Linked DNA regions of Oryzias latipes. The protein of the gene in region 1 purifies or fractionates together with the protein of each later gene. This does not show direct contact. Links are inferred from orthologs where the notes say so. Each region holds a gene or a part of one and is shown in the gene's direction. Other genes may lie near its edges.

Region 1 (4,481 bases):
TTTGATGTAAATAGTACAGTGGATGTAAAAATAGAATAATGGGTAGTAGTCATAAAAAAGCCTAGTTGTTTTTGCATATTATGGAGCTCTTTATTTCTACTAAAAGAAAACATTTCAAATATTTTTTTTTGAATTGAAGCATTTGTATTTCAAGCTTGGAAAATGCTGAGTTATGCTGTGGTCTCTGCTTCTAGTGTTGAAAAAAACCTACTGGTACTTTTTCTCCATTTACGCTGGGTCAAATCAGAATCAGGTTACAGTGAATGAAAAACCAGATTGTAAATGTGGAAAATAGACATTGTGAATTAAAAAAAAGGAAAACAGCTTTAAACCAAAGTACACATTGTAAACTTAACAGAAATATTAGAATAACCCCATATGTTTACTACAGAAACATGCTGAGGAACAAATTTGAGCTCATTTCTGTTTTATGCTTTTTCATTTCCCTTGTGTGTTTAGCTGCAACATTTTTTTTAATATGTTCTTTTTTTCTTTTTTTAACAGCTAACATGAATCTGCCTCCTTACAAACCGCAGCCAATCACAAACAATTAGTATTGTTTTTTAAGTAAACTACAATTTCTTTGAATGCACAAAGTTTATACAGTGAATGCCTGTCTGACATTTATTGCAATCCTACTTTGTTTAAATTTTTATTTCTTGTCTTGCAGACTGTTTTATCCATTTATGAGATAATATAAAGTTTGCTATTATAAGTTGTTATGATCAGTTGTAATAGATAAGGCTAAAATAACATGTTATGGTGCTGATCCTCACGCAAAAGTACATTTATTCTCTGGCCAATGCAATGTTGACTGTGACCTACGAGCAAATGTTTTGTAGTATGAGTGTATTTTTCCTATACCCACAGAATTTACTAACATTTTATAAACATACCACACAAAACATGTCTTGGTTATGCCTTGAAAATAATTGTTTTAAATCTTTTGTTTTTCTTTAGGGTATGAGACTGTTTGTTTGTTTTTTGGACTGAAAATCCGAGTTTAAAAATGTCATTTAGTTCCTAAATCACTCTTCCACAACCTAAATTTGTCACTTTTCTTTGTGACCTTACAGAATACAACGTATTTTAGGTTTGGATAGCAGTTATTCATCTTATTCACGTGTTTTTATTACCTGAAAAAGTTCCTAGAATGGCATTCCAAGTGGGAGAAGTTCACATGTTTGCTGAAGTTGAGACTTTTGAGCTGAACTCAAGTAACACTGCAGATCCCAACCGGACTCTGAGGTGCTGTGGCGCCCTCTATTGGTAAAACATTTGGGCTGTAAAAGGCAAAGTTCGGTGATAAAGTCTTTGTTTAAATATAAAAAAGTCAAAGAATATTGTTTTATATATAAATTGTAAACAAAAATGTCATTTTATTTAATTTACAGATACTTAAGGTTTAAAATGACAACAGTGATTTATTTTATTCAGGCATTTTGGAAGGTACCTAAATGCTCGAGCGTCCACAAGACTGAGGACCCAAGATGTCTATGCTAGCTGAACGTAAGTACTTTTCTCTTACATGTGTGTATATATTCCTTTTCTTTGTTTATTTTTTTTCTTCATTGTGATATTAGCCAAAGCACCATGCCTAACGGTATAAATTATAAACGGTTTTTTGAGTTGCCATTAACAAAGTGTTAACAAGGTTAGCATTAGCTTTAGCATTTTCCCCCATCGGTTTCTTTAAACACGTGTTTCTTACTTTACAACATGTGTCAAACTGCAGTCATCGCTGTATTTGTTTTTCAACTTGCCCGGCTGCCTCTTATAAGCACAGAGCTTGACTACAGTAGCAGGAAGAGTAGGGGTATCTGAAAAATATGTCGAACACTGAAGGATTTGCAAACGCTGTAAATCAGCTTTTTGACTGTTTATTTTTTGAAAAATAATCGTGGCCTATTTTTTATTTTATTATTTTTTTTGTAGAACTCTCTGTAAGATCTGGATAGTAGTTTACACGTTTGTGTGTGCTACATTCTCACTTGCTTGTCCTTGGATTAAAATCAAGATGTATTTTTTGTCATGATGTTTGTATAAAAAATGTTAAAGCACATTACATATGTTTATCTTCAGCACTGTTTTATATTCACTCTGCGTTTTGAGCTCTATATACTAGTCTAGTTGTCATTATTTAATGACAGACTGTTGAGTAACAATGCTGCTGCTTTTGTGAATTTAGCCCGAAGGAAACAAAAGTGGTCGGTTGACCCCAGGAACAGCACTTGGAGTAAAGATGACTCTAAATTTGGCCAGAAGATGCTGGAGCGAATGGGTTGGTCCAAGGGCAAGGTAAGCGGTCTAAACTTATGCTGATATCTTTAAAAGTGAATGCAATCCAGATATAGTTTTTGTTTGTTTTTCAGAACTTCTTTCTCGTTGCTTTTTTCTTAAGATGGGTGAAACATTTAAGGAAAATTAAGCTTAAAATGACATTTCTGAGTATTTCTTTATTCAAATCGTGTTGAATCACAAGCAGAAGGGAAAAATGCTGTTTAAAAACGACCCTGAAGTTAGCTTCCGATTCACAGCTTCCGATTCGCGAGGGCCCTAAACACTAAGACCACCGTAAAACCGGGTCCTGTTCAAAAACCGCTGGACCTGGACTGCTCAAACCTGGGTTAAATTATGCATTCGATAGTAAAGAACACATTAAACCCAGTTTCTGATTTGTGAAACCTTCCTCTGATTTGTGAAAATGTGAAATAGGTTGATTTTTATACCATTTTACGCACTGAGTCCACTTCAGACCAGGTCCTGGACCTGGACTGCTCAAACCTGGATCAAATTATAAATAAGATAGTAAAGAACACATTAAACACAGTTTCTGATTTGTGAAAATGTTAAATAGGTTGATTTTTATCACATTTTACGCACTAAGTCCACTTCAGACCAGGTCCTGTTCAAAAACCGCAGGACCTGGACTGCTCAAACCTGGATTAAATTATGCATTAGATAGTAAAGAACACATTAAACACAGTTTCTGATTTGTGAAAATGTGAAATAGGTTGATTTTTTATCGCATTTTACGCACGGAGTCCACTTCAGACCAGGTCCTGTTCAAAAACCGCTGTGGGAAATAGTATCATTTCATCAAATTTTATGCAATTTAAGGATAATGGGGACAAGGGAAGGACAACTTTAAGGAAAACACCGTAACAGGAACTCTAAAGTAAATCAGAAAACAAACCAAGAAATATTGAACAAAAAAACAAAACTTAAGTCAGGGGTTCATGCTAACCATGACTATAACTATTTGTCCAATCTGACATCTGTTTCCCAGTTTCTTTTGAATGTTGAGATTTTGATGTCGCCTTGTCTAGCGTTCTTGGATTCCTGTAGTGCATCGTAAAAGGTCCAAGCTTTTGTCTGGGCAGAAGTCTGTGTATTGCAACAAAGTGATTTTGGTCACCCAGGTGATATGTTAGGGCCACCGGCTCGTACCTGTGTGGAGAAATACAATAGTACAATGCAGTATAAAAAATAAAAGTGTTAAGGAATAAAAAAATACATTTCCACCCAAATTTCATGAACAGGACCTTGTCTGAGAAAAAGCGATAAAAATCAACTTATTTTACAAATCAGAGGAAGGTTTCACAAATCAGAAACTGGGTTTAATGTGTTCTTTACTATCTAATGCATAATTTAATCCAGGTTTGAGCAGTTCAGGTCCAGCGGTTTTTGAACAGGACCTGGTCTAAGGTGGACTCAGTGCGTAAGATGCGATAAAAAATCAACCTATTTCACATTTTCACAAATCAGAAGAAGGTTTCACAAATCAGAAACTGTGTTTAATGTGTTCTTTACTATCTTAATTATAATTTAATCCAGGTTTGAGCAGTCCAGGTCCAGCGGTTTTTGAACAGGACCTGGTCTAAGGTGATCTTAATGCAAAAAATGCAGCGGAATGTTCTTTTAGTGCCTTCGCGAATCGGAAGCTGTGAATCGGAAGCCAACTTCAGGGTCGTTGTTTAAAAAGCGTGTTAACAGATGAATGTTGGGAGTTAGTGGCGGATTTACACCGCGCCAATGGTCCCAACCACAACTTGGAGGCAATTTTCTTATGGTCTGCAGAAACTATGTCCCAAAAAACATGATTTTAAAAAAGCCAATATGGAACGCTTTTAAAATAGATGAAAAAAATGATCGGAGTGAGACTTTAAACTCATGTTGGACCTTTTGAGTGCATTAGTTTACAATAATTATTTGTGCTTGTTGTGCCTATTGTTCCTTTTGATAGTGTAATAACGTAAACAGACAGAGTTAAAATGTCCACTCAGCTTGATACAAATACAGAAACAGTAATCTGACAGAACTTGAAAGAGAGAAGTATGATGTTTCAAAATTTGGCGGAACTTACAAACATCGCTGATTGCAGTTATTTTGCAGTTACATCATAACCATTACAGTCAGGTGATTATTAATAAATATGAGCTGATTCTTTGTACTTCCAGGGACTGGGAAGGAGTGAGCAA
Region 2 (3,818 bases), on another chromosome or scaffold:
TACCAAAAGTATCCGCTCACCTGCCTTGATTACATATGAACTGAGTCTGCATGACTGAGGGCTTAATGTAAGACACCTGTGACCAGAAGAAGTGATGAGGACACCTGATCATTTGGATGGATGAGCCAATACTTTTGGTAAAATAGTGTATATAGAGTAGATTAAGCTCAAAATTGCACTTGTCAGTATTTCTTTATTCAAATCATTGTGAATAAGGAGCAGATGAAAAATGCCTTTGAAACAGCTTCTAGTTGTAACAAAATAAGTTCTAGTAATCTACAATCGGTGGTCCAAAGTCTTCCTTCTCCATTCTGATCGTCCACCATCAGACAAACGGATCCATGAACGTCTTTGTTTTCCTGGTCTGAGCTGGTATCTGGATCAGAATTGAATGGCTGGATAGCTACGATGTTGATCACCATTTTTGTTTCACAGTAATGTTAGGTTGGAATTTTGATGTGCTGGAAGGTAGCAGTGTGAAAACAGAGAGCTCTCAGCAGCAGGGAGGGGAGGGGAGGGGAAGGGAGGGTGTGGTTGCTTTATGCCAACGGTCCCGTCCACAAATCAGAGGTGAATTTCTACTGAATTCCTGCTGCTCTGCAGAAACTATGTCCTAGAAAACAACAGAAATGTTTGATTTTGGCTAAAAGTGGCGTCATCCTAACTAAAAGACCACTGGGAACGCTCTGAAAATAGATGGGATCGGACTTTAAAACTGTTTATGTCTCTCTTTTGCTCATTTAAAGACTTTTTCAAAGTCCAATCCTTTGTTCAAATAAAGTCTTTTGGTGTTTAGCGTCTCAGAACATGCAGGTGTTTCAGCCTTTGGTCTGCAGACCTGCAGCCTCCTCTGTGTCCGCTCTGTCCAGGTTCCATGTCTGTGTTCAGAGTTTACCCTTCGCCCAGACGGTCGCAAAGAACCCAACGTACTTCCAGCAGATGATCTGGGACATGGCGCACTATGCCAACGCTCTCATCAGGCGCAGCAACACAGGTACTTTACTTTATTCTCTTTTCCAGCTCAAAGAAACGGTCTGTTAGTCATTTTAATGGTTGGTTTGTTAGAATAATAAAACAAGAAACAGCAAATCTAGAAAAACCCATGCAGAGCGGAGGAAGATGAGTGAATCCAGGTGAGTTTCTCATCTCAGGCTCACTTGAACTCAAGCAGTCAGTCAGATTCCAGACTCTCCACCATGACTATGATCACAGGGAGGTTCAGAAAAGCCTGGAACAAACCACCAAACCTTTGGTTTGAAGAACCAAGAAGAAGCCGTTAAGATCCTTAGATCTCCTGGTGCTTCGACAATAAGTGTGACTGCAAACCAGAACGTCAGTGTTGCATCACAGCTTCACCTATTAAGATGTGGATCAGTTTAGTGTTTTTGTCTTTTATGGCTCAGAGAAACCCCGAACAGAAGGTTGGAGCCCTGTCTCCTCTGCCAGGTTGTGTGCTCAGCTTCCCCTCTCTCCTCCAGGGTTGGTTTTGGGGGATGGAGCTCAGAAGGGCAGCGTTCAGTACGAGGCCGTGGAGCTGCTCTTCTGTCTGGCCTTCCTGCGGGTTCTGTCTAAACACCGACCCGTCTACAAAGACCTGCTGCCACGCCTGCACAAATGTGGGTGTTCCACCAAGCACTAAGTATAAAAATGAAAGTCACTCAACACCTGAACGAAATATTCTAAGACTTTTAACACTTCAAATCATCAGCTGAATATGCAGAAGACAAAACTTGGCAGCGTTTTGAGAATTTTAGCAGATCATTTTGACCTTTCAAAGGTTTGATCAGCCAAAGGCTTTCACTGCTCTTGAACCGTTTTTCTGATGATGGAGGACATATGTTAAGAAGATGAAGGTCAAAAATGTAGTTCTGAGTATTTCTTTATTCAGATTGCATTAAACCAGGAGCAGATAAAAAATGTCGTTTAAAAAAGACCATATTTGTGAAGAAGAAAATACGCTGGGCAGCCTCAAGCTTCCTGCTCTGCTCCATTCTGATCATCCTCTGTCAGACCAACAGATCCATGTTTGTCTTTGTTTTCCTGGTCTGAGCTGATCTGGATCTAAACTGTACGACTGGATAGATCTGATACTGCTTAACACGTTTGGTGCCCTGCTAATGTTAGGTTGGGGGTGAGAGAGGCTGTAAGCCAGCAGGTGAGCGTGTAAACAAAGAGCTCTCAGCAATGGGAGAGGAAGGGGGTGGGCTTGCTCTGTGCACAACTCAGAGGTGGGTGAATTTCTAAAGAACTGCTGCTGCTCTGCAGAAACTATGTCCTAGAAAATGACTCGGCTTTTAAAAAATTTTGTCCAAAAATGACAATCACGATTTAAAGACCACTGGGAACGCTTTAACAATAGATGAAGAGACGATTAGAGGGGATCTTTGAGTTCTTTATTCAATCCCGTGTTTGAATTCAGGAGGATTCTTTTAGAACATTTCTTTTCTCTGAATGTGGGTTTAGAAGCTTTGGCACTATTGATGAATATCATGACAAAGCTGCTCGCTGAGAATGGATCAGGACTCTGTTTACTGAACTTGTTTCTTCATAAAACATCTGTCCTCAGGAGACAGAGAGGTTTGCTGAGCTGATGGAGAATCTGAAATCTCCTGGATGAGGCTGGGTTTTGCCTGAAGGTGGCATCAGCTGAGAGGCGTACAGGAATATCCGTGATGCAGTCGAGCATGAACTCTGGCGTTGGGTTTTTATGGTCAGAACTGCAGCACGGCTGTTACAGAAAGACCAAACATGAAAACACAGGAACTTTCCTGGAATACATCTTCTCTTAAAGGTGGATGCTGTGATGGCTGTATCCACGCTGGCCAATCTGAATGTTTTCAGGTGTATTTAGCAGTTTTATAACCAGCTGTTATGGGATTTTACAGCTCAGATGGGTGGATTTTACAGTTCGGAGATGAACTGTAATATCTCAATATCTGCTTTCACCCTCTGGACAGGGAAGCGCCGGTTGGAGAGGCTTCTGGGAGACCTGAGGCTGGCTAGGGTCCGGCAGGCCGCCAACCCCCGGGCTCTGCTGGACTTCCTGGCTATGCAGATGTGAGTCCACAGGTAAAAGCAGCCACAGGAACGGAAATGTGTGGGCAGTTTGACAGCATGGCTTTCACATGAGGATTTATTTTGTTAAAGTGATTAAAAGAAAAGAAAATGGAAGCAAAACGTTGTAATTTTTCTCTCAGATTGACATGATGAACATTCAAGGCTTTTGTTTAAACGAGCAAATGGAATCTTACGTGTTCTGTAAAGCACAGTAAATATGTTTTGGTCATCTCTTAAAAACCACTTAAGCGATAAAACCCGGTGATAAACCGGTGTCGTAAAACAAGCTCAAGTTGATGAATGAAAAACTTGAGAAGAATCCAGCTTCTGACATGGAGCCTGGCTCATTCCTCAGACGCCTGTATCTCTGGACTTTGATTCACTCGCTGCGGTAGTTTTCCACAAAGAAGATATGGTTAGGCTTTAAAAATAACTTGTCTGTAAATATGTGCACGGAAACGTCATCAGCCTCCAGGGATTTCTTTTACTGTCACAAGTACACAAACAAAGTGCAGCCAAGTGAAATAAAAAACCCTGATGTTTGAGGTTTAGCATTGAAACCAGCAGGATTGTTTTTCTCAGCTGAAATGCATGACGAGAAGAGACGTTTGACAGGTTCAAGCCTTTGGATTCCTCTGTTCCTGTACTTCAATCTGAAAGGTGCTGTTGTCGTAGGGGTTTAGGTCAACTGCAGCTGACGACCTTTTGACTCTTGAGCAGATCAGTCTGACCAGAGCCACCAGAGGGATGGAGAGCACAGG

What was found.
Region 2: the proteins of pinx1 (region 1) and tert purify together in Homo sapiens (co-immunoprecipitation; 3 studies listed by BioGRID and IntAct, with this or other methods). This does not show direct contact. The link is inferred for Oryzias latipes from reciprocal best matches to the Homo sapiens genes PINX1 and TERT.

Annotation. Positions count from the first base shown.
Region 1 is NC_019882.2:13,955,456-13,959,936, reverse strand, and holds the start of pinx1 (PIN2/TERF1-interacting telomerase inhibitor 1), read left to right. Parts: upstream 1-1,437; 5' UTR 1,438-1,490; coding exon 1,491-1,509; intron 1,510-2,188; coding exon 2,189-2,298; intron 2,299-4,460; coding exon 4,461-4,481. UniProt on the Homo sapiens protein: Microtubule-binding protein essential for faithful chromosome segregation. Mediates TRF1 and TERT accumulation in nucleolus and enhances TRF1 binding to telomeres. Inhibits telomerase activity. May inhibit cell proliferation and act as tumor suppressor.
Region 2 is NC_019869.2:25,694,802-25,698,619, reverse strand, and holds part of tert (telomerase reverse transcriptase), read left to right. Parts: intron 1-869; coding exon 870-994; intron 995-1,478; coding exon 1,479-1,616; intron 1,617-2,957; coding exon 2,958-3,061; 3' UTR 3,062-3,069; exon of another isoform or gene 3,070-3,674; coding exon of another isoform or gene 3,675-3,818. Other genes in the region: sodium-dependent neutral amino acid transporter B(0)AT3, read right to left, coding at 3,675-3,818. UniProt on the Homo sapiens protein: Telomerase is a ribonucleoprotein enzyme essential for the replication of chromosome termini in most eukaryotes. Active in progenitor and cancer cells. Inactive, or very low activity, in normal somatic cells.